Linked DNA regions of Alligator mississippiensis. The protein of the gene in region 2 purifies or fractionates together with the protein of the main gene of each other region. This does not show direct contact. Links are inferred from orthologs where the notes say so. Each region holds a gene or a part of one and is shown on either strand. Other genes may lie near its edges.

Region 1 (6,940 bases), on a different chromosome or scaffold from region 2:
TTTCCTCCAGCCCTTTCCAAAGCATTGAGTGCATGAAGGGAACAGGTGAGATACAGCCAAGGGTTGGCAGGGTCAGGAGATTTTCAGGCAGATGTGCTGATGGGCATGTGCCTCTGCATCCAGCGGAGCCTGTGACAGGCAGCCTGCACACTTCTTCACACCTGCCTTGCACTGTTGCTATGGTTACCCTGCCTAATTATATTCCCTCCTGCTCTTTGCCCCAAGTTCTCAGCCAACCAGGTGGCAGCGGGGGGAAAAATCCATTTCCTTCCTAATTTGTGAGCCTTTGATTTTAGCCCAACTCTGTGACAGCAGGATTTAAAACAGAGTTACTGTCACTGCGGCATTATCAGTAGTGCTAGGTGCTGTACAGCCCCTGCTTTGTAGTGGGACAGTGATATTGGCTTGGGGTGTGATTTTTTTTTACTGATGCCGCAGTCCTACCCACTAATGTAGATGCGGCTACACTGATATAAAAGTGCTTATTGCACTATGTAGGTGCAATGGCTGAGGAGTGGGTGTCCAGCTGGTGTAAGTGTAGGGGATGCACGAAAGGGCTGCATACCCCTGAATGCAGGAATGTACATGCCCATAGGCACATCCACCTGGGAGGACTTGGCTGGCACTCTTGGACCCCAAAAAGTCTATCAGCGCCAGGCGCACTGTCTTCTCACCGCTGTGTGTGCTGAGCTGGTCTGGCCCACCCCAACCACTGACTGGGACCATGAGTTTAATAAAGCAGCACAAGGGTCTGCAGGACCTAGCTGGGCAATCCCAATCTCCCAGGTTTCAACTCCTGCAGCTCTGAGCCCTCCTGCAGTGGAGATGCTCCAAGGGGCCCCAGTGCTTTTGAAAGTGCATGGGACCAAACCCCTTTGGAAATCCCAGATGACATCTCAAGCAGGGGAGAGAACTGGTCCTTGAGGTGAACCATGAAGCAGGGGAAGCTAGTTGGGGTGGGGGAAAGGGCCACCTATCCCTTCCCTGATCTTTCTTTCTTTCTCTCTTTCTTTCCCATCATCTTTCCCTTCCTTCATCCTCCTCCCTTGGTTGCCTAGGCAACTTCACAGCTGGGCACAGTATCCCAGGGCGACGGTCCTGCTGCTGAGCAAGGATAGATCCCAGCGCCCTGGAAACGGGAGGTGGGAGCGAGGTGCCTCTCTCTCCCTCTTTGCATCCCTGCACAACCCAGATGCAGGTGGTTATTTTGGGGTCGAGTTGGCTTATCCTCTGCACCCCCCCACCCCCAGCTCCTGCATTGCTATTTTTGGGCAGCACCAGGGAATGAGATGAATCACTCCAGTGCACACAGCCGAGGAGCTGCTTGAAAGCATCACGGTGGGGGGGTAGGGGGGAGGCTGGCATTGGGAGGAACCGTGGTGGTGCCTCATTCTGCTCAGAGGGGCTGGGGGCTCTGCCGCCCTAGATAAGGAAGACGTTTCAAGGGACAGAAACCCCCTACCCTGGACCTGATCTGGTGCTTATACCAATACCCACCACCATGGTATCTGTGGTGCTTATACCAATACCCACCAATTTGTGGTGCTTATACCAATACCCACCACCATGGTATCTGGGCACTTTATTGTGATCTCGAATGTATTCACCTTCACCCTCTCTGCACACCAGGGCAGTGCCATCATTCCCCCTATCCCTTTTTGCACAGCAGGGTTAAATGAGGTGTCGAGGCCACGTATTGGCCCTTGGTGTCAGAGCTGGAACTTGATCCCAGTTTTCCTGACCATGAAGCCAGCTTTTCTTTCCCTATTTCCCTACAGCTCCTTCCATTCACTTGGATTGGAAGGACTAGCTTAAATGTAGACAAAACTCTGGGGTTGGAGGTGATATCTTTCATTAGGCCAACTAAATAGTTGCAAAAAAATGTTTTTGCAACTATTTAGTTGGTGTAATAAAAGATATCACCTCTACCCCAAGAGTTTTGTCTGCTTATGTCCTTAGACCAACACGGCTACTCCTGCTACAGCTTAAACATAGTAACTGACCTCTCAGGGCAAGGGTCAAGCAGGAGGTGGTGTTGAGAAAACATCATTAGGACAGAACATCCCCTAACAGCCAGATCCAGGACTTCAGTGCCTTGGGCTGGCAGGCGAAGCAACTAGCTTTGGTGCTTGGAGGAAGCAATAGGAGAAAAGCCTGGCGGAGGAGGGCCTGTAACTACATCTGCACAGCTCCCCTTTGCTTCGGCACTGACCCCAAACACAGCCAATATGTAAAGCGACCTCCTGATGGCTTTGATCTCAGTGCAAAGCTTTGCCACAGACTTCAGCAGAGTCAGGACTTCACCCACAGGCATTTCAAGGGCCGGAGCTCCATGTCACCCCATGACCCTGGTAGGGTCTTGGTGGAAAGGATCAAGGCCGAGTGTACCAGTGTTCCTCTCCTGGTGCTCTCTCCTTGGTGAGCCTATGCCCCCCTCAGCTGCCTGGTGATGGGAAGTTGCAGCGGAGGGAACAGAAGAGGCAGGGGGGAGCTTGGTTATCTGCAGGCAGGAGATAGTTTAGCCTCCCTTTGATTCCCCAGGTAAAAATAGCTGCAGCCTTCCTGGGCTCATCTCCTGCGGTTACCCATTAACCCTTTGCTGGAGCTGGCAGTACACTAACAGGCCGAGGCCTCCTGCTAACTGGACAAGTATATTTGGGGGTGCTGTGCTGGCCAGCAGTGCTCCACACCCCCTGTTCTACCAGCCCTGGGGTCCCTGCATGCACACCTTCATCAATGGCCTTCAATCCTAGCCCCAAGGCCTTTGCAGGCAGGCGGAAGCAAGACAGCAGGGAGCTCAGCAATCAGAGGAAGAGGGGGGAGTGAAATTTCAGCAAAGAACAGGGCATATGGATGTGCCTTCCTGAAACCATCCCTCTCTCTGCTATTTATATCTGTGCAACTGTGAGCAGATCTGGCTCCCAAGATGCGCGTGTGTGAGCGTGCACAGAGGAAGAGGTTCATCCTTATCACTGCTCAATATTAGCAAGAACAGAATAGCCTCCTGCATCAGACCGGAGGCCCCTCCAGCCCAGTTTCCCGTCTCCAAAAGCAGCAAGTAATTAATGCTTTAAAGAATCTGGGAATTAGCATGTGGGTAGCGATACACCTTCAGCCTGACCTTCCCAGCCACCGCTGGTAGGACATGGGTATGTATATCCCCAGCTGCTGGGTGTAATAGCCCCTGATGGACCCGGCATCCATGCATTTGTCCAATTCAGTGGTCCTCATTCTTTTTCAGACTCGAGGCACACCTCAGAAAATGTCAGCTCCGAGTCTTCACTTTATTTTTGACGACAGAAAAATCCTGGAGCAATTCTTCTGTTGCAAAGACCTCAGCAGCTCCGAATGCTCTTTGGTTTCCTCTTGCGAATCGCGCGCACGCACCTAATCGCACTAACGTGGTGCGGCACTCTGCAGCCCCTCCGGGCAGGATCTCCAGGCACCCCACGGCACTGCAGCACCCTGGCTGAGAATCACCAATCCCATCTCACGCGGGATTTGTCCGTCTCGCCCCTACCCTGCAGCCACGAGGGAGCAGTAGGGGTCCATCAGGGTGCAATAGGTGATTCAGGGGGAGTTCCCTTTCCTTGCGGCTGCCCTGGCCTAGACTCAAGAGCAGCTGGTTTCTTCCACTCCACAGCTGGCTTTGCATCCACCTCCCCCCGCAGACCTACATACATCCTTCCCCACAAGCCAGCAGGGGCACATATACAAATACCGCCCCCCATCAAAATCAGCAGGGACTGTGACACGCCCCCAAACCAGCAGCGAGGAAGAGCCCTTCCCCCCTCCCCCCCAACGGGTTCCGCATTTATAGCCCTTTCCCGCGCCGCCGCCCCGCCCTCTCCTGTTACGTCACCCGAATGGCCACGGCGCGCACCAATGAGCGCCCGCCGGCCCGCCCCGGCCCCGCCCCTTGGAACGCGCTGTATCCCGGGCTCGCGGCGGCCACGTGCGGAGCGGGCGGGGCCGGGTCGGGCTGGGCAGGTAACGCGCGGTTCGGTTGGGCCCGGTCCGGCTCGGCGGCCCAATGGCAGCGTCGCACCCCCGCGGCCGGGGCCGGGGCCGGTGCTGGGGCTGGGGCCTGCTCTGTGCAGCCCGCGCTGGGCCCTCCGCGCCCGGGGGCTGCCTCGCTGCTGCCGCCCCGCGGGGGCACTGCGGGTGCGCACCCGGCACGGAGCCTGCCCGGCCTGCGCTGGGATGCCAGCTCTGCCCCAGGGGGCCCTTCTCCGGTTACACACTCACGTTCTCCAGTCGGGACCCAGGAGGGGGGCAGTGGCATAGAGGCCCAGGGAAGGGGGCGCTCTGCATCAGATGGGCAAGTCCTGGGCTTCTGGGCTTTGCTGGTTGCCCCCCTGCCCCTTTCTGCTACACGGGTCAAGGTGATGATGAGGCTCCCCCAGAGGCTGGGGATGGGGACTGGGCTGTGCCAGTGCTCCTAGGCACCAGGCCTGGAGGGGCCTGGCTAGAGGCTTTTGCCCCATTGCTTAGGATCAGACTGATGCTGCCTTGGTGTCAGGAAGGGATTTTACCCACTGGTCAGATTGGAAAAAACGGGGGGGGGGGGGAGAGTTACCTTCCTCCGTAGTGGGGGGTATGGCCTTCTACCTGGGATCCCTGGAGCATATATTGCTGGCAGCTCACAGAAACAGGATGTCAGCGGCCATGGTTCCCTTCTTCCCCCGTGGCAGTTTTGGGTGTGCTGTCTTGTGTCGGGGTGGACAGTAGCCTTACATAACATTTAGATTTCATAGATTTCATAGACATTAGGGCTGGAAGGGACCTCGGAAGATCATCGAGTCCAGCCCCCCGCCCAAAGGGCAGGAAGTCAGCTGTGGTCATAGGATCCCAGCAAGATAAGCATCCAGTTTGCTCTTGAAGGTGTTCAATGAAGGCGCTTGAACGACCTCCGGCGGCAGGCTGTTCCAGACCTTGGGGGCTTGGACAGTAAAGAAATTCTTACTTATGTCCAGCCTGAAACGGTCTTATAGTAGTTTATGACCATTCGACCTAGTCGTCATTCCTTGGGGCGCTCTGGTGAACAAACATTGCCCCAGATACTGGTGGTCACCCCTGATAAACTTGTAGGTGGCCATCAGATCACCCCTGAGCCTGCGCTTTTCCAAGCTAAAGAGTCCTAGGGCTCTCAGCCTGTCATCGTAGGGTCTGCTTCCCTGACCTCTGATCATGTGCGTGGCTCTTCTCTGGACTCTCTCAAGCTTCTCCACATCCTTTTTGAATTGTGGAGCCCAAAACTGGACACAGTACTCCAGCTGCGGCCTCACTAAGGCCGAGTACAAAGGGAGAATGACGTTCTGGGATTTGCTTGAGAAGCATCTATGGACGCAAGCCAGCGTTTTGGTCGCTTTGCTATCTGCAGCATCGCACTGCAGGCTCATGTTCATCTTGTGGTCAATGATGACCCCCAAGTCTCTTTCTTGCATAGTGCTAGCCAACATAGCACTGCCGAGCCTATAAGGATGCTGCGGGTTTTTCTTCCCAAGGTGGAGAACCTTGCATTTATCGGCGTTGAACACCATCAGATTCTCATCCGCCCACTTGCTGAGCCTGTCCAGGTCAGCCTGGATCACCCGCCTGTCTTCTGGTGTGGATGCTTTGCCCCAAAGTTTGGTGTCATCGGCGAACTTGGCCAGTCCGCTTCTGACTCCAGTGTCCACATCATTAATGAAGATGTTGAACAGTATGGGTCCAAGGACAGAGCCTTGGGGGACCCCACTGGTCACAGGACACCACGATGAGTGAATGGATGTGTCTGGGTTGGTTAGGACAGGGTGATCCTGCCCCACTAGGTGCCAGCCCCCCTGCCCTGGGATTATATGACAACCTCCCTGGAGAGAAGTGAAGCATGGGTTGGAGACATCTCACCCTTCCCAGCCTGCCTCATGTGAACAAAGCAGCTCTTGCAGGCCTGGGAGTAGAGGAGCAGGTAGGACCTCCTGGGAAGGGAATTTTCAGCATAGCAGGAGGAGAGTGAGGTGGCATGGAGGAAGCAAGGCTAAAAGGGGGCTTGAAATAGGCTGGTTTGATTCCCTGTGTTTGCATCTTACAGCCTTAAAGGGGAGGATGAGAGATTCCTTGGGGCAATTTATGGCCAACTGTGCACACTAACTGCACGTTACGCCTGGGGTCTCATCTCTTGCCCTGGGGTGTGGGTTTCATGTGGGCAATGGGCCCTAGGAGGGTTCCCATGGGTTGTAAGGGGCTCTCTGTCTCTGCCCTTTCAGGCCTCGGCTGCGTTGGATCCCAGCTCTCTTATGTCTGCTTTGTCTCTGCCAGCGCATCATGGCAGGACGGGGCGGCAGAGGGAGGGGGCGGGGCCAGATGACCTTCAACGTCGAAGCTGTGGGCATCGGGAAGGGAGAATCGCTGCCTCCCTCGACCCTCCAGCCATCACCGCTCTTCCCGGTGAGGTCCCCTTCTGTGCGGGGAGGAACAGCAGGTGGGAGCTGAGGCTGTGGGAACCCTCCAGCCCCTTGTTTTCCCTGCTGAATATGCCAGCGCCATGTTTTGGCTGTGGTGTGTCTTCAGGGGGTAGGACAGACCCAGCAAACTCAGTCCAAGCCCCCAGGATGAAGCAACATTAGAAGTCAGAACATAAACAATACTCACTCTCCTGCAACAGGAGGACACCATCTTCTATGGATATATTTTCCCCCCCTGGAGTATGCCATTTTCCATGGATACTATCACTTATCGGAGAAGCTTAGGGCATTGTAGCCGAAGCACCTGGCTACCCCTTTCACAACTCATGAAATTGCAGGCAGCCTTCTAAGCAGTCTAGGGTAAGACTCGAACTCAGGCCTTCAGAGTAATAGCAAGCTGTTTTAGCCACTCTGCCACTGCATCCCACCATACAGACCTGTGCTTGCTCGCAAATACATGCACACAGCTCTATGGATGTACATATCTGTGCATA
Region 2 (6,983 bases):
GTGTAAGTCATCTTCAAAGAGGACAAACAGAGCAGAGGGGAGACAGAGTGAGAACAGCATCTGTGACCATCCCTGCAGCTACAGCGGCCCATGCTTCTCTTTCTCCTCATACCTTTCTTCTTCATCATTTCCGCTGGGCCTTGCTCAAAGATGGAATGGGACTGAATGACCTCCGGCCTGCCTCTGCCCCGCCCATGGCCATCACGCTGCCGATCCCGGTCTCTCTCTTTCTTCTCTTTTTTGATGGAGACATCCTCCTTTGGCCTGAACAAAGAGTTTACAGCTTGTCTGATGGAACCCCCACATAATTCTAATACATTTGTAATTAGCCAGCCTCCCAATTTGCATTACATGAATTCCAAAGTACTTTAAAAGTTATCTGTGTTGTTAAGATGCAGCCACCCCTGGGGTGGAACGTGGTATCTGATGAACAGTGGACAGCAGCCAGTCCACGTTCAGTTCTTAAGACTAAGACATTCCACCCCACAGAGAAAGCATAAGATGGCCACTTACTCTTCTTTGATCTTCCTGCTAATTATGTTGGGGGTGAAAGTTTTCTGTAAACAAAAACAACAGAGCAAGTCATCAATTAAGGAAGTGCCAGGTCCAAGTCAAAGTCACCAAATATGCAGCTGTGGGCTGGCCTGAACCAATGGACCACACACACTGCAGCTGAAATCTGGAAGCAATGTCAGATCCTGCCCAGTGCCCACAAAACCTGCAAGCATTCTGGCTCTGGGCTCCTGATTGAAATTTTGCCCTGTGAAGGCAGCTTGCATAAGCCCCTTGCTTTATCCTGGCCCAGCACGTTTTTTTCCCCGCACTGGCCATGCAGTTTACCACATACACAATAATCTTGCATTGCAGGTCTCCAAATGTCTTATCAGGATCAGACTCTCCTGGGGAAAAACTGGCTCTACGTGCAGGCATGGCTCGGGGGGAGGAAGTGTCTTATGCAGCCAGGCTGGTTGCACATCAGACCCTGACTCGTGTACAGGCCCCAGCCTAAAAGCCTCTAGGGAAGATACAAGGCCCAGTTACACAACTCGCTCCCACAGGCATCAGTCCTTTGAAAAAGAGACCACAGAGAACACTGCAGGGAGTTCCAGGCTGCCCCTTCCTTCAGGACAATTCTCTTTACGTACGTCCTACTTTCAAATTGCTCTTCCAACACAAACTAGTTAAACCTGCTGCAAAAGACAGTGACCAAGGTGTTTGCCTCACCTTTTAGAGGCAGAAATGAAACTGAAACCTAAGGGATTTGGTTAAAACTGCAAAAGGAGACAATGTCAGGGTCGAGAAAAGAACCAAAGAGCTCTGGTCTGCAGAGCCCCCCAACCCAACACTATGCAGCCTAGGCACAGCCACACCCATTGCAACCCTGTCCTATCTAGTATGGGACACTTCCTTGGCTTTCTCAAGTGCATCAGAGAAAGATGCAAGCCAATCTAGATGGATAAGTATCCAAAAGCAGGCCTGCGAGCGAGGTTCCTTGCTATCCCCAGGAGTTAACCTTTTATTTACATCACTATGAGATACAGGCAGACAGTTTCCTGCTGCATCTGTAGTGCTTTTAATTTCAGAAGCGGGCAGCCTACCATGTACTTCGAGTGGTGTAACTTCCATTGGTCTGTGCACCCAGGGAAGTTACACTGGTGTCCGCAGCAGACAGCACACACGGGCACCTCCAAGGTGACCCCAATAAAGGCTGTGGATGCACGATCCATCCTCTGCTGTATAATTATTCCCACCTTTCCCAGCAGTAGCTCCTCTGCTACACATTTACGGCCACCACCCAAAGCAAGCATGTAACGTGTCCAAACCCTTATGCTCAAATGAGCCAAGAGCAACTAGCATCCCCTATTTAACAAGCGTCCCTGCCACTGGGACAGCATTGTATACATCTGCTTCAACTGCAAACCCTCTGGTGCAGGGTTCACGTCTTCTTTCATGGCCAGATGGTATCGAGCAAGCCACCTGCATGATGCACCACAGTCTGCCCACTGGAAGCCCATGGGCCAGCGCTGCGGGCACAAAATCAGGCCCCGTGGCGGTCTGATCCATGCTCTCCCGTGTGCCATTTGCGTGGTTAAGGAAAGCCAGGAGGGCAGTTTTCTGCCCAGAACAAGGGACACTTGCCTTCTTCACTCCTCCAAGAGTGAGGTCTCGGGAGCGGATGGAGGGGAGTCTCCCGGGGGTAATAGGGGTGGCAGTTCTCCTCCCGATCAGCCCGCGGGGCCCAGAGAGGCCCGGGCGGAGATTGCTCGCGTTTCCAGCATCGCTGCCTGACCCTGCTTCCGACATCCTCCCAGAGGACCTGGGGAGAGACGCATGGCTGGAGCCCCAGCAGCCCAGAGACCTGCCCTGCGGCCCATGGCGCGAGCACAGGGGGGGAAGCTCGCTGCACCCCACAGATGGCAGGCCGAGGGCAACGGCTGGGAGGACGAGCAGCAAGATGCTGTGCACCAGGGGCAAGCAGGACCCGGAGAACCAGACACGAGCGAGGGCTGCGCTGGAGCCCCAATGAGGCCAGAGGGGGACTCGGGCTAGGAGCCCTGCCCCGGAGCTGCCGTAGGGGCCCAGATCTCTGCCCCGGAGGGGACCATCCCCAGCAAAGCCCCACACTATAGGGGGCCCTGGATATAGGAGCCCTGGCTAGGCAGGGCCAAGCTATAGGCCCCCCTGGATATAGGAGCCCAGGTTATAGGGGACCCCGGGCTATAGTGGGACTCGTGGATACAGCAACCTAGGCTATAGGGGACCAGGTTATAGGGCCCCCAGGCTATAATGGGACTCTTGGATTTAGGAACCCAGGCTATACAGGCCCCTGGACATAGAAGCCCAGACTATACAGGCCCCATGGTGGGGGTCGTGGATACAACCGGCCAGGCTATAGGGGTGCCCCCACGCATGGCGCTCGCCGTCCCCTCCCCCATTACCTCGCCCGGCAGCAGCAAAAGGAAGCCCGTGGCCCAGGATTCCTCTTTGAACTCCCCCGCGCATGCGTAGAAGCGCAAGCGCCATCCTAGCGAAGGGCAAAACCCGGAAGGACGCCCGCCCCGCCATGTTTGGGAAGGGCGTTCTCGAGCAAGGGCGCCGCCATGTTTGTCAGGGGCCGGTGGCGGCGACGGGGGCCGCCATCTTTGCGAAGGGCACAGGCGGCTGTAGGGCCAGGGAGCTGGCAGAACAGCAGGGGCTTGCTGGGGGCAGCAAGCACCCAGGGGGCCTGGCCTTCAGCCTCCTGGGTTCACCAGTAGCCAGGGGCTGGCTTGCAAAGCCTTCCACTGCACCTGTCCTCCTTTGCCCTGCAGGCCCCTGGCCTCGGGCCCTCACGCCTGGCTCGGGGCTGTCCCTCTTATCCGGAGGGTCTAGTTCTGCTCCCGTCCCCTCGTCGCTCTCCTGCGTAGGAGACGATCCTGTTTTTGTATCACAAGCCATGTCACACATAAATATTGCATCAGCTCGTGATACTTTCACGTCCCCCTGCTCCTTCCTGCCGCTGGCGGAGGCTAATTTCAGGAGACTCTCAGCCTTCATTTAAAAGAAAAAGGAAAAGTATGCTCCTCGTTCCCTTGAGAGCACATGAAAAGCTGAGAAACCAGAAGGCAAGAAGCGGGGGAGGGAAGGAAAGATAAAAAATCCCTTGTTTTTCTTCCATCTCACGCCGTGCAGGCCAATCTCAAGTGCTTGGGAGGCAGCTCGTGACGTGCGAGTGCTTGGGGTTGGCAAAATGTGCAGCTGCAATTCTGCACACGCATCTCACAGCGGCTCCAATTTTGCACAAGCACTCAATACATAGTGCTTAGATGCCCAATTACCCGATACCCGGATGCAGCCACAGCGAGATGTCAAAGTGTGCCATCTCCAACTACTTACCTCATAAAACCGGGCCTGCCATTGCTTCCTGGAAAAAATAAATAAATCAGAGACTGCTTTGAACATCATGCCTGAGACCTATTAAAAACAAAACTTTCCCTGGCTGGTGCCAGTGGCTGCTGCTTGCTAGGAAACAGCCTCAGGTGCAACTTCACCTCCGCAGGTGTTAAGTGAAAATGGAAAAATCAAGTGTTGTTGGGTTTTAATTTAACACCTCTTCAGGAGGGAGTATATCCCAGCAATGAATGGCAACTGGCCAGGCCCAAGGGAAAAAAAAAACAGCCCCTGTTAGACTCAGTTGTTGCCATCACATTCATTTTCACATGTAACGGTAAAGGTGTTTTTTGAGACCAGCTCCTCTGAAACAAGAGGCTCTGCTCTTCCAGCCACTGCTCAGCAAAGCTGCCGGCAAAAAGCAACGTGCTGAAGATGCTGCTTTCTCTTGGCATCTCTTGCTTTGGTGTCTGTCCCCTCCCTCCAACAACAGGGCCTGAATAATCCTCACTTCTTGAGGTGCCTGGTGCACCCACAGACAGGAGCAATCAGCCGGGTCTGATCTGCTCAAAATCGTGGGCTGTAAGTTTAGCACGCACCTCCTCATCTCTGGCAAAAGACATGTATTGAGCTCTGCCACCACTTCCTTTGTTCCATTTTGTTCTTGCCGGTGGCCTCGAGGCCCATCAGGAGTGGCATTCGAACAGGGATCCCTATTGTCTCCAGTGCTCAGGCTTTTGTTAGATTAGAAATAGGTGCGTGGGCCCAGGGCTGATTTCACCTCTCCGTGCGTAAATGGGGAGTAGCTTCTTCTAAACCCCCAGCCATCTCCCACAGCTCCACGGTTACAGCACTTGGCTCATCCTTTTCAAAACTGTTTCCCTGGTAAAACACACGCGTAGCTGGGCTTGGTTCAATGTTGCGGGGCTGATTTATAGCAGCTGAGAAGTCGCCCACTTGTGCCTCAGCAGGCAGACAGCTACATGTTTTGCGCTCTTCCCCTTTACAAAGAAGGGTCCTGGGAGGTTCCCCTACCCTCAAGCTGCTCTGGTGTTGCCCTTTTTAAGGGGCTTTTAACTACGTGAGGGGCTGGGCAGAGAGAAGATGGTGCAGGTTTCCTCATGCAGTCAACAAGCTGCCCATGCAGATGGCCCATGGGGAAGGTGCCCCACTTTTCACGTGACCCGCATCATGCGTCTGATCCCCAGCAAAGAGACTGGGCATTTATCCACAGCTAGGCTGGCTGCAGGCAGCCTCTGGCAGAAGACTGCTGGGTGGTTCAAGCTCATGCCTGAAGGGTCTTGGAGACATCTGAGCTTCTCTGCTGCTGAGCTAACCATGTCCTCTGTGCAGACCATCCGGTCTTGCTCTCAGGTTATGGGGTTTTTTTTTAATAATATATTTTGTGTTCCAGGTCAAATCAGACAAATCGCTTCCAAATCACATCAATTGAGCAGGATTCAGTTGTCCCCAAAACCATATTGATTGAGCAAGCAGGGCTCGATTGTTCTAAACACAGCCGTATGGCGCTGCTACTGGCAAGCATCCTCCGTCCCAGGCTCTCACCCTGGGACTTCCGATGCCTGCCAATGGATTTGGGAGTAACTTACGTGCAGGCCCAAGCCTGGAGGTCTTGGGATTTGGATGCCTTAAAGAAACTACTTGATCTTAGCCCGCAAGAGGTTACACTGGTTTAAAGCAGGGGCAACTCCAATGCCAGTGGGGCTATTCGGTGCATCTGAGAGCAGGCTTTGTGTCTGATTCCCTCCTTGCCCCTCCAGTGACAGCCTGGCAGGACACACAAGGCTCTTCTACTTTCCCTGAAGGTCACTGACTTGGGTTGAGTCAGATCAGGGGAAGGCTGATGATCCAGATTGTGGGGTGTGCCTCCTGGACAAGGCCTGCTGGGCACTGTCCACTCAAGCTGATCTTAGCTGCCTGGGATGAGCTGAGAGGCAAGAACCAAGGCCCTTGAGGCCAGGCTGATATGCAGCAATAAGCAGAGGTTCCCAGCTGGGAAGTCTGGACCACCAAGAGAGGGCTCAGGGAGGTGGTAAGGTCTTAATAATGTTATCACAACACAGAGGACAGAACATCTTAAAGAATTTTTTTGCAAAGATCGAGTTTGTCTAATAAAAGATATCACCTCTGCCATGAGTTCTGATTCCTTTTGCCTCTAGACCAATACAGTTACAACCTGGATACCTGAAAATCTTACCCTGCACTCAGCCCACACCCTTCCTCTTCAAGCATGAGTGGTTTACAGCAACCCCAAAGAGCCATGTCAGGCTTGCATAATTAGTATGGGTGTGCACTTTACTTTTAAGGTAAATGGAAAGGGGGTGGGGGTGGGTGCACGTGCAAAGTGTTGGCTTTGAATATGAGACCATTGACCTGAAAAGGCTGAGAAACTGCATTAACCAGAATCCCCTCCACAGCCAGAAAGAGGACCCAGAAGTCCGGACTTTTTGTCCCTTCCTCTCCACACGCTGCCTCCTCTGCCGTTCTCTGCCCTGGAGCTGGGAGTGGACCCCAAAACCCCTGATTTGTAGTCCCCAGCTCTAACCACTGGATCTTGCACCCACCACAAAGCCAGGCAGACAGCCACATTCCCTGGCCTGCCTAGCAGACCACAGTCCCCAACCCAGCCACGCTGCAGAGGTGCCTGCTGCAAATACAATCTCCTTGCAAGTGTGGGGAAAGTTGAAGGGTCCCAGCTTGGCAGTCCTGTCACCAGGGGCTGGCCTGGCTGCAGACGTGAGGGGCTCCCAGGGGTGCCCTCGTCTTTACACTGGGTACATTAGGCCAATATCCAACTCCTGCTCATTCTGGGGAGCCGTCCCATTCTCCCAAGGGTCCCTGGGCATCACTTGGCCCTGCTGTCTCCATCCTATGTACATTTGTCACCCCTCTGCAACCAGCCCCCGAGCCCTGCTCCCCTCCCCACGCCAGCTCCTGCTGTTGGTGCGACACCCCCGCCCTGGGAAAAGCCTCTCTGATTTCTCCTTGCTGTCCCTGCAGCTCATGGAAGCCAGGCTGGGAATGTGGCTGCTCATCACCTGATGCTTTGCAGCCTGACCGCCGATTGGCGGAGAAGGCCTGGATTTTTTTTT
Region 3 (7,920 bases), on a different chromosome or scaffold from region 2:
GGCATGATGCACAGGTAGCATTTTCTCTCACCGGACTGCATGTGGGGATGGGAAACAGAAACTAGCAACACGGGGCTTCTCCAACCCGTTTGGGATGGGGCTTTGTGCTACCTCACAGGAAGCCAGAGAGTTTCTTAGAGACCAAGAGGTCCATTTGCCAGCCAGCTTAGCTGCCTCTCTGCTAACCGATTAAACCTAAAGCAGCAACTAAATCTGTATGGTCTTCAACCAGATACCAGCTGTGGCATGGAAATCAAGAGGAAGTACGGTAGGCAAAGCAGCGCTGTCGGGACACCGAGGGGAAAACAAACTCAAACAACACTGAATGAACTCACCTCCGTTGGCAACGAGCAGACTGGGGAAGGAAGAGAGAGATTGTTAAATTGAAATGTCCTTGCTGCGTATTAAGAACAACCCCCTCATCCTTCTAGTTTGGACAGCTTCTCGCGCCATTACCATGACTTCTTACGCTCGAAGGCAGGGCAGAGAAGGACCTTTACGAGCTAAGATATATAGGCAGAGCATAAGCTTTTGCGAACTCAAGTTCACGTCACCAGGTGCTGTGCTACCTACCCCGTCTTCCGACTTGCGTCGGACTGAACACAACTACCTACCTCTCCCTTCTCACGTTACCCACACTGGGCTGCTAACGAAGCAGAGCACAGGCCTGCGGTACTGACCGTACCTCGGAAAAGGCAAGTTACCCAAGTTCACGCCCCTCTGAAGTTATCTGAATTACCATCTACTAAGTCACGTCCTGACGAGAATGAGACTCGTGTTGCAAGGTGTTCACCAAACCAGCATCAATTTTCACTGTCTTTTGCATTCAAGCGGTTACCTTTCCTTGTCGATGGAGCCCAGTAGTAGCAGCACAGGGTAAGAGGAGCAAAAAACCAGTGACAGCGATGATACAATCTGTGCTCTGCAACTCTTTCCCTATTTTGCTCTAATGAAAATGCATTTGCTCAATCTGACGGTCCTAAGTTCAGCCTTCAGAGAAACCGATGCGCACTGCAACACGGAGAGCGGCGCGCTGCAAGAAGGGACGGCGAGACCCGGGCAGGTGTTGCCCTCCTTAATTGCACGCTAATAAGGTTTTCAGGAACGAGCCTCGCTGTGTCGGTTTCCTCACGCGCAGGCGGCACCCAAGACTGCTACAACTTCGACGTCTGCGTAAGACTAAGTCGGGATCCGAGTCTTGGCAACCTCACTTCGGGGGGTCTCCTCCGAACGAATTCAGCAGCTCCAACCTCGCTCGTCTGGACTTAGCTTTATACGCACGGTATCCACCTTGAAACCTGGCGTGTCACGGGCCTAGCCAGAGCAAGTAACCCAGAAGTGTGAGCACGGGACTCCCCTTCAGGCGCAGAGTCGCGGCGATGTAACTCTGGACTGACCACCTCGCCTGGGCCTTGTCCCACGGGGGGCCTGGCCCCCTTGTCTGCCACAGGAGGCGCTGGTTATGACCACGCTCCCACCGTCACGACGTATGGAACTATGACCTCACTCCCACCGTCACGACGTATGGAACTATGACCTCACTCCCAGCCCCGTTTCCTCTCTGGCCCTGACGCCCACCCACGGCCCCGGCCCCAGGGGCAGCAGCCCACGTGGTGGGGTGCGGCCGAGCTGCCTCCCCCCCGGACTTGCCTCCGCAGTAAAGGACGCGCAGGGGGCAGTCGGCGTCCGCCCGGGCGCTGCTCCGCGGGTCCCCGCGGCCGTCGGGCATCGCGCACTCCGCCACGTCCGCCGCCATGGGCCCGGGAGCGAGAGCGGGTCAGGCAGGGAGCGGGGCGGCGGGTCCCAGGCCGGAGCCCGGCGCGCAGAGGCTGCTCACCCGCGCGGCCCCTCAGGCCGCAGTGAGACCGGACGAAGCGGCTGCCTGGACCCCGCCGCACCACATGCGACGTCCCGCGAGAGCAGCGGCCTCTCGCGAGAGCTCGGAGGGGGCCGGGTGACGTCAGCGAGAGGCTTGCTCGGGGAGGCGCTGAGGGCGCTTGGGTTAGGTTTGTTTTGAGCCTACGCGGCCGCCGTAAAAGAAAGGCTAAATGAAGCTAAGCAGGGTCGCGGAGGGTCCTCCCCTGGAGGGGAGACCTCAAGAAGGCCCGGGCACAGCTTGCAGTGAGTGCGGGCGGGGTGACCCTCAGGGCCCCTCGTGCTGCCTGTAGCCTGTCCACGTGCAGCTCCTCCCTGAGAAATGCCCCACAAGCAAACTCTGGCTGTGCCCATTTTACAGATGGAAACTGAGGCAGGGAATTCCATGCCACTGCTGAGACCCGGGGCATGTCCATCAAGTGAGGTCCAGCTCTGCAAGCGTGTGGGCCTGAGGACAAAGGCAGACAAGTGTCTTTGGCTCAACTGGTACCCGAAAACTTGCAAAGAAGAAGTTTTCCAATTATCTGAGTCGGTCTAATGAAAGAGATCGGATTGCCCCGAAGAGCCTCGTCTGCCCAGGTCCACAAAGCGCCTGCCCACGGGTTTCAGCAGTCCTTCGTGCTTGCACACGCGTCGTTCCTGAACAGCGACACTGCCAGAGGCAGCTGGGAAATGACTGAGGGTTTTTTTCTCCCCGTAAAAAAAAAAGTCATTAGAAAATTAAACGTTACATTTTTCTGTGAAATGTTTCAAGTCTCCATGAGACAGATGAAAAGGGAGGGTTTTTCTTTACATTTATCGTTTAGGTGAGAAGACATTTGTACAGGAAAAAAACTCTGGATTCAAATTTTGATCAGCTCCGTTAGCCGCGTGGTTTTCACCACGAGGTGGGACGCGACGCTGGATGCTCTCGCGTTCGTCGTATGACGCAGACCGCCTGTCGCTCGGTTCGCCTCCGAAAAGGGTGATTTGAGCCAGTGAGAGCAGTGGGGGAAAAGGCTTTAATGCACAACAGCAAAAGAGCTTCCCTTCTACCTCTGATCGAGTGCAACCCTCCCGTCGCACGCTTTACTTGTACGTTAGTGCAACTCCGGTGAGTTCAGTGGAAGACATCCTGATTTCCACCTGTGAAAGTGTACCAAGAATTGGGTCCAGTGACTCAGACCCTGAGGTGCTAACAGTTTTCATTCCAAAAAAAGCGCCGATCGCTTTGATGGGAATTTTGCCTAAGACCTAGGTAAAGATTTCAAGGTTTGGCCCCACATTTTACTGAATCCTAGAGAAATTTAACATTTCTCCCCTTGTTCCTTTCAAGGTCATTATCAGACCCTACACATAAACTATGACCACCTTTTACCAGACAATACTTCAGCAAAATTTAAGCTGCTCTGTCAAATTAAGTGGTTTAACATCTTTTAATGTGTATTGTGTATATGCCATATACAAGCCGTCACTCTTTGTGCCCGGTAACTTCAGCAAATATTTTTCTCTGAGATAAAAAGTCCTTTGTTTCTTCCTTTTGTGCGTGAACAGTCCATTTTGGAGCTTTGGTTTTAGGCATCTGTACAGCTCGATGTGTAGAAGGTGCTGATTTAACTGTTAAATGGATATTTTGCTGTTCGTTATCATTAACGTTGCCTCGATGATTGCTGTTGTTTGAGCCGTTTCTTGAGAAGACAGGTGACCTTCAATGCACGCAAGAAATCAGTATTACACGGAGTAACTTCCCAGAGAACAGGGGACGCAGAGTTCGCTGTGTAACTCCGCTGACTTCAGTTGAGTTACACCTGGAAGAGTGTGTCTCTTTGTGAGTATCACACCTACCTGTACCCTTCCCTGTGCTTGATGACGTCCCATAGTCAAGCAACGTCTTTTCATTAATGCTCTTGTATAACCAACGTGGCAGATTTTTGCAATGCTGCACAAATAGCGCTTGCGCCCTGTTGTGAGGTCTGGATGCTGAAACGGAGACGACGCGTGAGAAGACTCCAGAGATCCGTATCTTACGCTTCTCCCAGTATGATAAGTAGCATACACAAAATAGTTTTTACTTTTGGAAAGGTGTAAAGGTTTGATTTCATGAGAGGCTGCCCTATACCTTACAGTAAATAATAAGTATCTTTTGCAGGTATATATGGTCTCGCATCCAGTGATCTCAAAGCACCGTAGAACATGGATAACTGTTGCTAGCTGCATGTTCAGATCATTAAACTGAGAAATAATTGAGACGCAGTGTCCACTAACTGTAGGTATCCAGCCCAGGACACTTGGGTCTGACTTTGAAGAGATGCTGAGCACCAGCAGTTCCCATTGATTTCGCTCACAGCTGTGGGTGCTCAGTTCCTCTGAAAATCAAGCGTCCTGCACTGGGCACCCAACGCCAGTAGATGCTTTTTTCAATTTTAGGCTATGTGACTTGCCCAAAATATCATAGGAAGCCTGGCACGGTGCCTGTAACCGAAGAAAGCCGGTGAGGCCCTGTGACGCACCACCTGTAATGCTACGTCCTACTGTCAGTCTTCAAAACCAGGCTTAGCAGGCGGTGCCCATCATTCCCAAACAGCCCATTAAATCCCCCTGGCTAAACACTGGTTGGGACGCACTGTTTTTCATCACTGAGATTACACTGGACTCCCCTGATTTAATTCACGTGGGGCAACTTTTGGAGCTGTTCCTGTTTTCAGGCGGTTCGTATTCGAACAAAGCTTTCCCGGGCCCAATTCCCGAAGTGCGTGCTCGTGGGGAAACTTCTCAATGTAATACTTCAGTTCAGTTCCTACAAATGTTTTCTGGCGAGAGAGAGCGTGCAAATGTAGCCATCAGTTTTGCAGGAACAAAACCCAGTAGTGCAACAGGCGGCTCCATCTTTCTGCGCTCTAAACACACCAGCCCCGCTCCTGCTCCCCCGGAGGCGCGAGGACCAGGGCGCACGTGCTCCTCGCGTCTGCGCAGGCGCGGACCGCTGACACTCGGAAGCGCGCTCCGTGCGCCGGCCGTTCTGAGCCTCGCGGCGCCCCGTCGCCCGGGTCCTGCCTGCTACGGCAGAGCGGCGGGGTCATACTTGTGCTGTTCGTCTCGCCTCGCGAGCCCGCGGGAGCGGGGAGCCCGCAGCCATGCCCCGCTATGCCCAGCTGGTCATGGGCCCGGCGGGCAGCGGGAAGGTAGGTGGGGCCGGCCCCGCGGGGGGGGCGTTTGGGTGTGATGGGGGTGGGGGTGGGGTATTTGAGGTGAGGGGGGTCGGGGTGTCTGAGGATGGCAGGACTGTGGTTGGGGTGTCTGGGGGCAATGGGGGGATGGGGTTGGGGTGCATGGAGGAGCAGGGGGGTGCCTGGGGGGGTTGGGATTGGGGTACTTGGGGTGAGGGGAGGCGTGGGGGGGCTGGGGGCAGTGGGGGTGATGGGATTGGGGTACTTGAGGCGTGGGGGTGTGGGGTGTCTGGGGGCAATGGGGATGTGGGGTGCCTGGGGGTGACGGGGTTGGGATTAGGGTATTTGGGGTGAAGGGAGGCGGGGGTTGGGGTGTCTGGGGGCAATGGGGGTGTGGGGTGCCTGGGGGTGACAGGGTTGGGATTGGGGTATTTGGGGTGAAGGGAGGCGTGGGGGGTTGGGGTGTCAGTGGGCAATGGGGGTGTGGGGTGCCTGGGGGGTGACAGGGTTTGGATTGGGGTATTTGGGGTGAAGGGAGGCGTGGGGGGTTGGGGTGTCTGCGGGCAATGGGGGTGTGGGGTGCCTGGGGGTGACAGGGTTGGGATTGGGGTATTTGGGGTGAAGGGAGGCGTGGGGGGTTGGGGTGTCTGCGGGCAATGGGGGTGTGGGGTGCCTGGGGGTGACGGGGTTGGGACTGGGGTGCCTGGGGGAGGAAGCGTGGGGTGTCTGGGGTGGGGAATGGGGCAGTGAGGAAGGGGTGAGGGCCTCTGGCAGGCCTGCGCTGCCACGCGGGGGGCCGCGCCAGCGGTGAGCAGAGCAGAGCAAGGAGTCGGCTCTCGTCCAGAGAACCCCTTGAGTCAGGCTGGCGAGCTCCTTCCTTCTGCAGAGCCCGGAGGGCAGTGCAGGGGCAGCACCGGCCCCACTGCCCAGCAGCAGGAGCAGGGCATGGAGGGGAAGCAAGCACTGGTCACTGGTTGCTGCCAGGACACTAGACGTGGGGCCTGGGCATGGTCATCGCTGTCCTGTGCTTCGCCATCATGCTCTTGCCTCCTGTCTTGGGTGCCACAGCGGTTCATGACTTTCCCCCGCAGAGCACATACTGTTCGACCATGGTCCAGCACTGCGAAGCCTTGAACCGCTCCGTCCAAGTGGTTAATCTCGATCCTGCAGCAGAATACTTCAACTATCCCGTCATGGCAGGTGAGCTGTGCGGCACACATGTCTTTCCTCTGTTCTCAGCAGCACCAAAAACAATCAAGACTCACTGATTCCTTCTTCACTAGAACTGAGTTCTTGCACCTTTTAATGAGGCATAAGTCCCATTCAGTGCCCTGAATTTGCTTTATATAAGAACATAAGAATTACCATTTACTGGGTCAGACCGTAGGTCCATCCTGCCCAGTACGTGTGTCACGCAGTGGAGGGTGGATGCTGAAAGGGAGGGTGAATGCCTATTCTAGTTTGATATCGCCTTCCAGATTCTAAATCGGTTTTAATTTAAGTGTACTTTCTCAGGGGGGGTGTGCATGTACCTACTTAAGGATACAGAGGCATCATTTGCAAGACTAGCTTTCCTGATGAGCCTGCGCAGCAGTTAATGAGCTTCTTGGAAATAATTGGTTTTCTATGTTTTCCTGGTGTAGTCAGTGAGCTCCTGGTGGGGTTTTCCATGTGCTAGCACAGGGGAAAGCATTTGGGGAAAAAAAAGCGGTGTTTTAAAATCAGAAACATATGTAGGGTGACTGGGGGAGGAGGGGGTAGTTATAGTGTCCCAAACTACTTTTAACTCAGGTTTTTAAAAACAATGAGATCTGGAGTTCATTTTAAGAATTGCGTGTGTTGTAGTAACTTACCTTGGAATTTATGCATTTAGTGTAGTAAGCATACAGAAAGCCTTGATGCATAGCTCTTGTTCCAGATATCCGAGAGCTGATCGAAGTGGATGATGTTATGGAAGACGACTCTCTAAGGTTTGGTCCAAATGGAGGGTTAGTGTTTTGCATGGAATATTTTGCCAATAACTTTGACTGGCTGGAGGAATCCCTTGGACACGTAGAGGATGACTATATACTCTTTGACTGCCCAGGTAAGCTAACATTTTGCTTATGTGATACATAATTCGTGACATGTATTTTTGTCCTTGCTGTGCCTCTACATTAGAGTTACATTCCTGCATTTTAATGACTGTGTGTCCTAGGTCAGATTGAGCTCTATACTCACTTGCCAGTGATGAAACAGCTGGTGGAGCAGCTGCAGCAGTGGGAATTCCGTGTCTGTGGAGTTTTTCTTGTTGATTCCCAATTTATGGTGGAATCGTTTAAGGTATTGGCTTCAAATCTATAGTAAACATTGGGAAAAAAGCCCTACTATAATAATAAAAGACCATGAAATCTGAGGGAATGACTTGCCATGTTGCAAAGCAATCTGAAATCTCTTCAGTCAGAGAAAAACTGCGTGTTTCTGCTTTGTTAATGTCCTGTGCCTGGAATATTGTGTGTGGCCTCGGAGTTAGAGTGGGTGTCTGGGAACTGTTTTTCGGGGGGGGTGCTAGTCCCCCATCTCAAACTGACTTGCCATGTGGCCTTAAGTCAGTCACTTCCCTTCTGTAACCTGAAGAAAATTAGTGCTCAAAAAGTCCAGAGAGAGAGAGTTTTGTATGGAGAACTTCAGATGTATTAGGCTCCCATTAGAGGCTGATTCATGTGGATGGTCCTGGGAGATGCCTCCCTCTCCCAGTAAAGACACTCATCTTACTGGGCTCTGTGCCTGGATGCTGTTTCCCCTGCTGTGTTCCATATGATAGTTTATTGCCTGTCCACTAAAGTTTCCTGCATGTATGTATGTCGGCCTGGGTATGTAGGAAAAGATTAGAAAGGAAAGCAATTATGGGGAAGGAGGT
Region 4 (7,651 bases), on a different chromosome or scaffold from region 2:
GACACTGGAGACCAATACATAATCAGTCTTTTCAGGTACAGTAAAGAAGTAATAAGTTTACGTTTTATGAAACGTAGAGCAAATCACTGTGTACAAGAATCGGTTCTAGATTCTTGCTTCAAATATATTTTATTTTACCATCTTACCTTCAACGTCACAATAAGAAAATTCAGGCTCCCCTAACCAGACTACAATAGGTAGAGAACAGAATTGCAACTTGTTTTGGTCTCACTTTCTTAAAATATTGACCAAAAAAAGAGAGAGAGAAACAACTACTTAAGAGTGGTAGTACAAGATGTCATTAAAGTGTTTTTACAGAAACATGAAGTTCTGTGAACTGAAGTTACAGAAATGCAAAGTATAGCTTACATCTGAAGCCTCACATGCTATACGCTTCTCCTCACCAGCCTGCATAATTATACCCATACAGATATCATTTTTTACTATCTAATGTACAAGTTATATGAAAATTTAGAACCTTACTATGTGTGTTTGACATATAGAAATATAGATTACCATAAAAACTTTTAAAAATGCCTAGTTCTTCTACTGTGTAATTAGCTGGATGGAGCAAACTGAGCACCCCAGATCAATATGCTACTTCCTTGAAAGAAACAACCGCACATCTTTTTTTCACCAAAACTCCTGTAAGGAAAACGTGGATTAACACCAACCACCATTATCTGGGGAAATAATGGTATTAATTAAAATATATGTAAAAATAAAGCATTGTAACTATTTCTAACGTAAGCTAGATCATATCAAAAACACTTGAAGTAAAGAGCAGGACATTCATATTATTGAGAAAAGTCCTGAAAGTACCATGTCAGCTCATATGCCAGAATGTTGCCTGAATTAAGCTAATACCACCCAGAGCATAGCTGCAAGTTGGAAAAGCGTCTAGGCCAGCAGTTCCCAAACTGCGGATCACAACCCCAAATGGGGTTGCAACATCATCAGATGGGGTCATGAGGGTGGGGGGCTGTGGGTTGAGAGTGAAAGGCCATGTTGAGGAAATGGGGCCATGAGTGGGGTCATGCTGAGGAAGAGTCTGGGAAGCACTGATCTAGGCACTGGCATTCACATTAACCAATGCGATTCCAAACCAGAAGTTATATATCCATATCATATCCCTACCAGAGAACGCACACTTCATAAAAAACATGAAATGTTTAATACCAAAACACGCAAGTGTTTAATCTCAAACTTTACAGATATAAATCCTGATCTGCAAATATGTATGCACAAACTTAAAATGAAATGCAAAAATAGTCCCACCGACTGCAACAAAAAATGCAGTTAAATTTAAGTGCATATATAAATATTTATAGTTAAAGCCATAAAAATCCTGCATTACAACTTTATAGTTCTCTATCGCACTGTAGAAAGCATGACCCAACAATTACATAGTGGCATTTAAACAGATTGCATCTTAAAAAAGGTAGTAGACTTTCTAAACAACAAGCTCTATTGGCCTAATAAAGCAATTAAGCAGCATATAATTCAATGATATCATATTAACAAATTGCTTTACAATCATTATGAAGCTTTCAAATATCAAAGGCAATTCACTGGTTACAAGGCTGGAATTTTTGCTTCCTCTCATCTTCTACACCAAGTATGGGAGCATTGCTTTAAGTGAGTGCTGCTTTCCTTTTAGTTACAGATGTTAACATCTAATAACTCCTAACAAGAGCTACATTTTACAGATTCCTGAAATTAATTTAGCTTTATCCAGTGACTAAACAGACAATCTCCATATGTTCCACTTCTAGTTTAGGAGGGAGATTATCAATACTGCTCTCCCTTCTGCACTGTCAGGTTCAAACAATGGAAGACATTTCTTAAAAGTGTGAGAAAATGAAGCCATAAAAATTAGCAGGGGACTTAGGGACCTGACCTACTTTGCTTGCTTTCTGAAGCATATTATATTTCAGTTAGACAATGATGCTTACACCAGAAGCTAATCAACTTGGGGATGGGGTGGGGTTAGCAAATAAGTTCATGATATAAATATACAAGTATGTGCATCAGGGTCTTGGCACAGGCTGCTCTGGGCAGGTAAACCTTCACTGACATCAACCGGACTTCTCTGAGCAGACCCCTGCACCTGTGAGAACAGTCAGCAGTATCAGAGTCCGTGTTTTTGAAAAATGAAAATTAAGATGTTCATATTTAAATAACATAATGCATCTTTCCGCAACAAACACCAGTATGTGGTGCCTAATCCTCTTGCAAAATTGTTACCGTTTCACTGAAAAACACATTGATTCATTTTAAATGGACATTAGGCTTGTAAATTATTGACAGGACATGTGAAAGTATTCTATTGACTTCTCTAGCTGGGGCTGAATTCAAGGGTCAAGGTTTGGCCTGCTTGAGTTGATGCAACTAAAGCCTAAAAAAGGATGAACTGTTCAGCAAGTTAGGAAGGTATTACTAGATGCATTGATTTTAAATAATTTATTTGTAATTACTAATTATATCAGTGGGCTGTAGTAATTTTAAAAAGGCAAATAGGTTATTTTTATAAATCATTCCAGTTCACCATGCAATGTTTTCTTATCTAACAGTTCTGTGCTAACCAGCTGACTTCCTCCATAATTGCTTGTAAGCCTATTCCAATCCTTCTTTTCCTGAAATACTTCATCAGCTAATACAGCACCAAGTAGAGGGAGACAGGACTCCCACTACTACTCCTCAGAAAAGTTATGGTAGTAGTGCTTTATTAAGCCACACTAATGTTCCTGAAAGGAGATGTATACACCTTGGCTCCATTTTGAGGAAATTTGTTTTAACAAAGCACAGCAACATATGGCACCAGCATCTTTATTTTGAAAGTGGGTAGGGATGCTAACTCAAACCATCTGATGTTTCTTCCTAAGCCTCCTTATCTGCTGTCAGATTACATGCTTAGGGTAAAACATCAGCAAGCCAAAAAGAAGTGGGAAGAGGCATAAGCATCAATCAATCAACTTATTTAATGAGATGAAGAGTCTAGCTCAGAATAATTTCCCTTTTTAACAGAAGGCCAAACACACACATTTATTTTCAGACACTATCATCAACCATATCCTGGGGTTAATCCGTAACAGACATTTTTACTTTGTAGAAAGACAAAAATAAACCCACATTGTAATGTAATTAAAAAAGGAATTAAACAAGGCTCAGAACTGCTTAATAGTGGATTTCTACTGAAGTAAACAATCCAATGGTATATACATTAGCAACACAGTAAAAAAAGTCACAGAGGACTGTCATATTTGCCATGGGCACATCCAAAATTACCAGTTCGCTACACTGCTGATTACTAACTTTTCATCAAGAGCAAGAATGACTCTGAAGTATCCCTTATTACAGATTTTTCACAGATAGAAACTAATGAATAAAAAATAGGGCCTTTGTTAGAGAAGAGAGAGTGAAATTTACTCTTCTGAAATAACTGTCTATTATAGATGCTTCGAGGTGTACATTTAGCTATGATTTGCTATGGTAGGGTTGTGAAACACATAACCTGAACCCAACTCCTATAACAGGGGCTTGCTTGCAGCTGTTCTTTCTTCCTCCCACACACACAGTAATTCAACTCCTCCTCAGCCCTTAGAACTCTTTCATAAAATTACATCCGAGCGGCATACACGTATTTCAGTAACAGGCTGAATAAATACATCCGCAGTCAATCCCTCGTACACAAGCCGAAACACAAATATCAGTTTTGTTGCATATGCAATTTAGGTTTCAGTGCAGCCTTCAGCATATAATGACAGCTCAGGTTTGGGAAAAGAATAGCTGTAGCTCTTCCAGCCTGCAGCTGCAGCCAGCAAATACCCACTCCCCTCCCTCTGAGCAAGTGCAGGACCAGAACCACCATGAAGAAACCTCATTTCTGTGCTGGAAAGGAGGAATGGCAATAGGCTAGGAAAAAAAGGATGAACCCTTTTTTCTCCTCACACCTCTGCAACCATGATGCTGACTGCGCCTGGAGCAATGGTCAGGGATGCAAAATAAAGGGGGGGGACTTTTTTTTTTTTTTTTTATTCCCGGCACAATATTAAATGTCAGACTGGCAAACAACAGGGAGGCAGTCCTGTTTATTCAGGGCTTCTCCCCCTGACCGGAGCCCAGCGTGGGAAGGGTTCCGGCTCGGGGAGCACATGCGGAGGTGCCTAGAGGGGACTCGCCCTCCCCCCGCCGGCGGCAGCCGCCTGCCCCTGCCCGCACCGCGGTCTCCAGAGCAAACTTGGCTGCGCCCGAGCCCGCCCCATGCTCCTGCCCGCCCCACACTTGTTGCAGCGCCCGCGGTCCTCCGGCAGCTCCGGCCTCCCCGCGCGGGCCAGGGCGATGCCCTTGCTGGGGGCCGGGCGGGAGAAGACGCCCTAAGCCGAGCCGGGAAGTTACTCACCGCCACGGATGGCTCGTCCGCCCCGGGCCCGGGGGCAGCTGTCCCGCACTGCGCGGCCGCCCCGGCCCCGGCCCCGGCCCCAGGGCGTGGGGGGGAGGAGCCGCCGCCGCCGAGCCCCGGCCACCAGCGAACCCCGGGCAGGAGCCGACGGGCCGGGGGCGGCACCGGGGGGCGGGGACAGCCGGGCCCCGCCCCCATCGGCGCACGTGGCAGCGTCGCCCCGCCCGCGGAAGGGGGCGTGGCCCGGCGGCACCCCGCCCCTTCCCCGGCCGGCCTCGCGGTGCTGCAACCGTCCGCGGGGGGAAGGGCCGCCATGGACGAGGACCCGGAGCTGGAGCGGTGAGAGGCGGCGTTGGGGGCGGGCGGGCGCGGGCCTTGCTCCTGCTGGCGCGGGGCCCCGTCCTCTTCCCCTTCCCCTTCCCCGTGTGGCCCGCCGCGGACGCGGGGGCCTGCCGCAGCTCGGGGCCGGCGGCTCCGCGGCCTGTGCCGCCGGGCGAGTGAGGCCTTCTCCTGTCTGTTTGTGTCTTCCGCAGACCAGCGAGGCCTGCTGCGCGCGGGCGCGGCTGGGCGTGGAGGGCACGAGGGGAGGTGGAGGTTCCCTCAGGGGAGTGCGGAGCGGCCTGGCCGGCACAGGCTCGCGGGCCGCGTCTGCCCGAGGTTGCTCCTGTCGCCCTTGCAGCCTCCGGGCCGGGCCCCGCGCTCCCTGGTCCTGGTGCCCTTTGCTTTCCTCCCACAATTTGTCCAGGCCCTTTGTGAATGTGGCTGAACTGTCGGCTTCCCCCGCGTGTGAGGGCAGCAGGTTCCCACTTGCATGACTTGCTGTGTGAAAAGAAACTTGGTTTAATTGGTTTTGAACTCGCAACCTGCTAGCTTCATTCTGTGACTGTCTAGTTCCTGTCTCGGGAGAGTCGATGATCTGTCCCTGGTACTGTCTGTTCACCATTTACTGGTCTGTAAATCCTTCTCGTGCCCCCTGCTGCAACCAGCTCTTTTCTAAATTGAATAGGCCTAGGCTCTGTAGTCTCCCCCCTTGGGAGAGCCCCTCCATACGCTAACCATCCTTATTGCTCTTCTCTGGGCCATCTCTAGTTCTTCTGCCTCCGTTTTGAGGTGTGAAAACCAGAACTGGGCACTGCATTCAAGGTGTAGATGCACCACGGATTTATAAAGCGGCATAAGGACACTTTCTGTTTTGTTTACAATTCCCTTCTTAATAATCCCTCGCATTTTGTCTGCCTTCTTGATGGCACCAAGCTGATGTTTTTATCCAGCTGTCCACAATGAAAGGAAATGTTCTGCCCTGTCATCATGGTCTTTGCAGTAGAAAAATGGCTCTGTTATTTTTTGTAGTCAAAGAATGCGAACATAAGCGTTGGCATTTTCTGAGAGATTCTTTGCGTCTAAAAAGGTTGAGAGCTGCTGCTTCAGGTGTCCTGACCCTAAAAGTGAGTTCGCTGTAGGCAGCCCGCTTGTTATCTATCCTGCTGCATTCTGGAGAGCAGTGTATTGGAGAGGGCATTCAGGTTTTTAATGAGAAAAAGATATTGCTGAATTCTGAACTTGACTGTAGAAGTGACCTGTGTTACCTGGAGGGCTGTTTCACTCCACCTACCTGATCCTGATTCCCTGGCTTGGCTATGATTAGGCACCTATTGAATTCGGGATTTTCAAGAAAACCGCAAATTCAGTTGGTCCCCGTGAAAAAGCACAGGGACTGAGAAAAGGTACAAAATCAGCAGCAAGTTGGGCGGGGTGGGGGGGAGGGCGGTTGCAAAACCAGAAAAGGGCGGGAAGCCCTGGCATCCTGAAGCAGGGTGGGGGGGCAGGGGGAAATTTTTGCAGTGGAGTGTGGTGGGCTGCTGCCCCCTACATGCCTCTGATTGACTGAGGGGGCCCTGGAAGTCTTGGCAGTCCTGGAGACTAACAGATTGCCATCTATCAATTTTCAGGAGCAAGAGGACTTCCAGGGCCCCTTGGCCAATCAGAGGAATACGGGGTGGAGGGTGGCACTGCAGAAATGGCGCCTGGCCCTGTACTCAAACTGCAAAATCAGATAACAACTGCCACAAATTCAGTAGGTCCCTAGCTATTATCTACCCCCACTTTACTCTATCCATTCTCTGTCTTGTATCCTGTGAATAGTGAGGTAATTAGCCGTGTTAGTTTGAAGTCAGGCAGAAGACAAGGTAGATTTGCACTTCATAGACTAACTGTTCTAGTCTATAAGGTGCAAATCTACCCTGCCTTTTGTATTCAAATCACTCTCACTATTTTTACATAGACTGCTGTGTGCATGTCCTTTCACAGCACCTAATGAAGTATGCTCAAGCTTATGAAAGCTTATGCATCTCTGGTGTAATTAGCTCTACTCTGCCATCTACCTGACTTAACAGTAACATGTCTAAGTACAAGTACCTCTCTGTGATCTAGCAAAAATAACACAACCATCAAAGGTGAGAGAGGTATGCACAGGAGACTAGTCTTGGCAATATTATTCTTGAGGGGTCTATGAAGAAACATGTGTGCATTAAGAATACAGCGCAGAGAGAGATTTTTAGTCCGTTGAGGAAATGTACTCCTGTACAATGAATAAATAAAAATCAAACCTCCATACAGAATGAAGAAAAACGGGGAAAGGATGTCTTCTCTGTTCACTGTAAAATACTAGTGATGCATACTGATAGCTGTTCTAGCCAAGCTTTGGAAATCTAATTGATCATAATGCAGATTGAAAATAAGCTTCGGGTTTTTTAGTTCAAATAAAAAAAAAAAAGCCTAATACCCTGACTTTTTATTGATGGATGCGCTAATAGATAGTTAATGTCACCCTGTCATAGTGTTGTGGCAAAATTGACTGCAGTCATTTTATCAGAGAATAAAGTGACTGCTATTCTGCATTTGGTTGGGATGAGATATTCATTCTGCTTTACATATTGAATTATGGCACTTCCAAGAGAGTGCACTGAATATAAATGTATGTTTATTTGACTATCCAGTCATAATAGGTCTCTTACTTTTTGGTTTGGAAGCAGCCTGCATGCGCTTACCTCCTTGGTGAATCTTGTTGGCATTACACACTTTATTGTGAGATTGCCTGGGAAGAAAGACTACATAGTTTACAGCAAGTTATCAACACTACAGCTATGCAGAATATGATAGAATCATATCTGAGATGACAGTCTAATGATATTCCTGTTAACCGTCATAAAACAATTACAGCATGGTCCGGGGCAATGCAGGCTTCCTTCA

The links.
Region 1: the proteins of POLR3D (region 2) and POLR3GL purify together in Homo sapiens (co-immunoprecipitation; 4 studies listed by BioGRID and IntAct, counting the BioPlex papers as one, with this or other methods). This does not show direct contact. The link is inferred for Alligator mississippiensis from reciprocal best matches to the Homo sapiens genes POLR3D and POLR3GL.
Region 3: the proteins of POLR3D (region 2) and GPN3 purify together in Homo sapiens (affinity purification with mass spectrometry; 3 studies listed by BioGRID and IntAct, counting the BioPlex papers as one, with this or other methods). This does not show direct contact. The link is inferred for Alligator mississippiensis from reciprocal best matches to the Homo sapiens genes POLR3D and GPN3.
Region 4: the proteins of POLR3D (region 2) and protein POLR1D purify together in Homo sapiens (affinity purification with mass spectrometry; 6 studies listed by BioGRID and IntAct, counting the BioPlex papers as one, with this or other methods). This does not show direct contact. The link is inferred for Alligator mississippiensis from reciprocal best matches to the Homo sapiens genes POLR3D and POLR1D.

The regions. Positions count from the first base shown.
Region 1 is NC_081838.1:17,886,275-17,893,214, forward strand, and holds the start of POLR3GL (DNA-directed RNA polymerase III subunit RPC7-like), read left to right. Parts: upstream 1-3,923; 5' UTR 3,924-3,990; intron 3,991-5,605; exon of another isoform or gene 5,606-5,950; intron 5,951-6,248; 5' UTR 6,249-6,306; coding exon 6,307-6,429; intron 6,430-6,940. UniProt on the Homo sapiens protein: DNA-dependent RNA polymerase catalyzes the transcription of DNA into RNA using the four ribonucleoside triphosphates as substrates. Specific peripheric component of RNA polymerase III which synthesizes small RNAs, such as 5S rRNA and tRNAs.
Region 2 is NC_081830.1:21,616,528-21,623,510, reverse strand, and holds the start of POLR3D (DNA-directed RNA polymerase III subunit RPC4), read right to left. Parts: upstream 3,018-6,983; 5' UTR 2,940-3,017; intron 2,318-2,939; 5' UTR 2,305-2,317; coding exon 2,140-2,304; intron 558-2,139; coding exon 514-557; intron 265-513; coding exon 113-264; intron 1-112. UniProt on the Homo sapiens protein: DNA-dependent RNA polymerase catalyzes the transcription of DNA into RNA using the four ribonucleoside triphosphates as substrates.
Region 3 is NC_081833.1:2,186,069-2,193,988, forward strand, and holds the start of GPN3 (GPN-loop GTPase 3), read left to right. Parts: upstream 1-4,906; 5' UTR 4,907-4,988; coding exon 4,989-5,036; intron 5,037-6,112; coding exon 6,113-6,221; intron 6,222-6,939; coding exon 6,940-7,107; intron 7,108-7,218; coding exon 7,219-7,343; intron 7,344-7,920. Other genes in the region: DENR (density-regulated protein), read right to left, coding at 336-355, 1,651-1,756. UniProt on the Homo sapiens protein: Small GTPase required for proper localization of RNA polymerase II (RNAPII). May act at an RNAP assembly step prior to nuclear import.
Region 4 is NC_081824.1:428,177,655-428,185,305, reverse strand, and holds the start of protein POLR1D, read left to right. Parts: upstream 1-4,633; 5' UTR 4,634-4,715; coding exon 4,716-4,741; intron 4,742-7,651.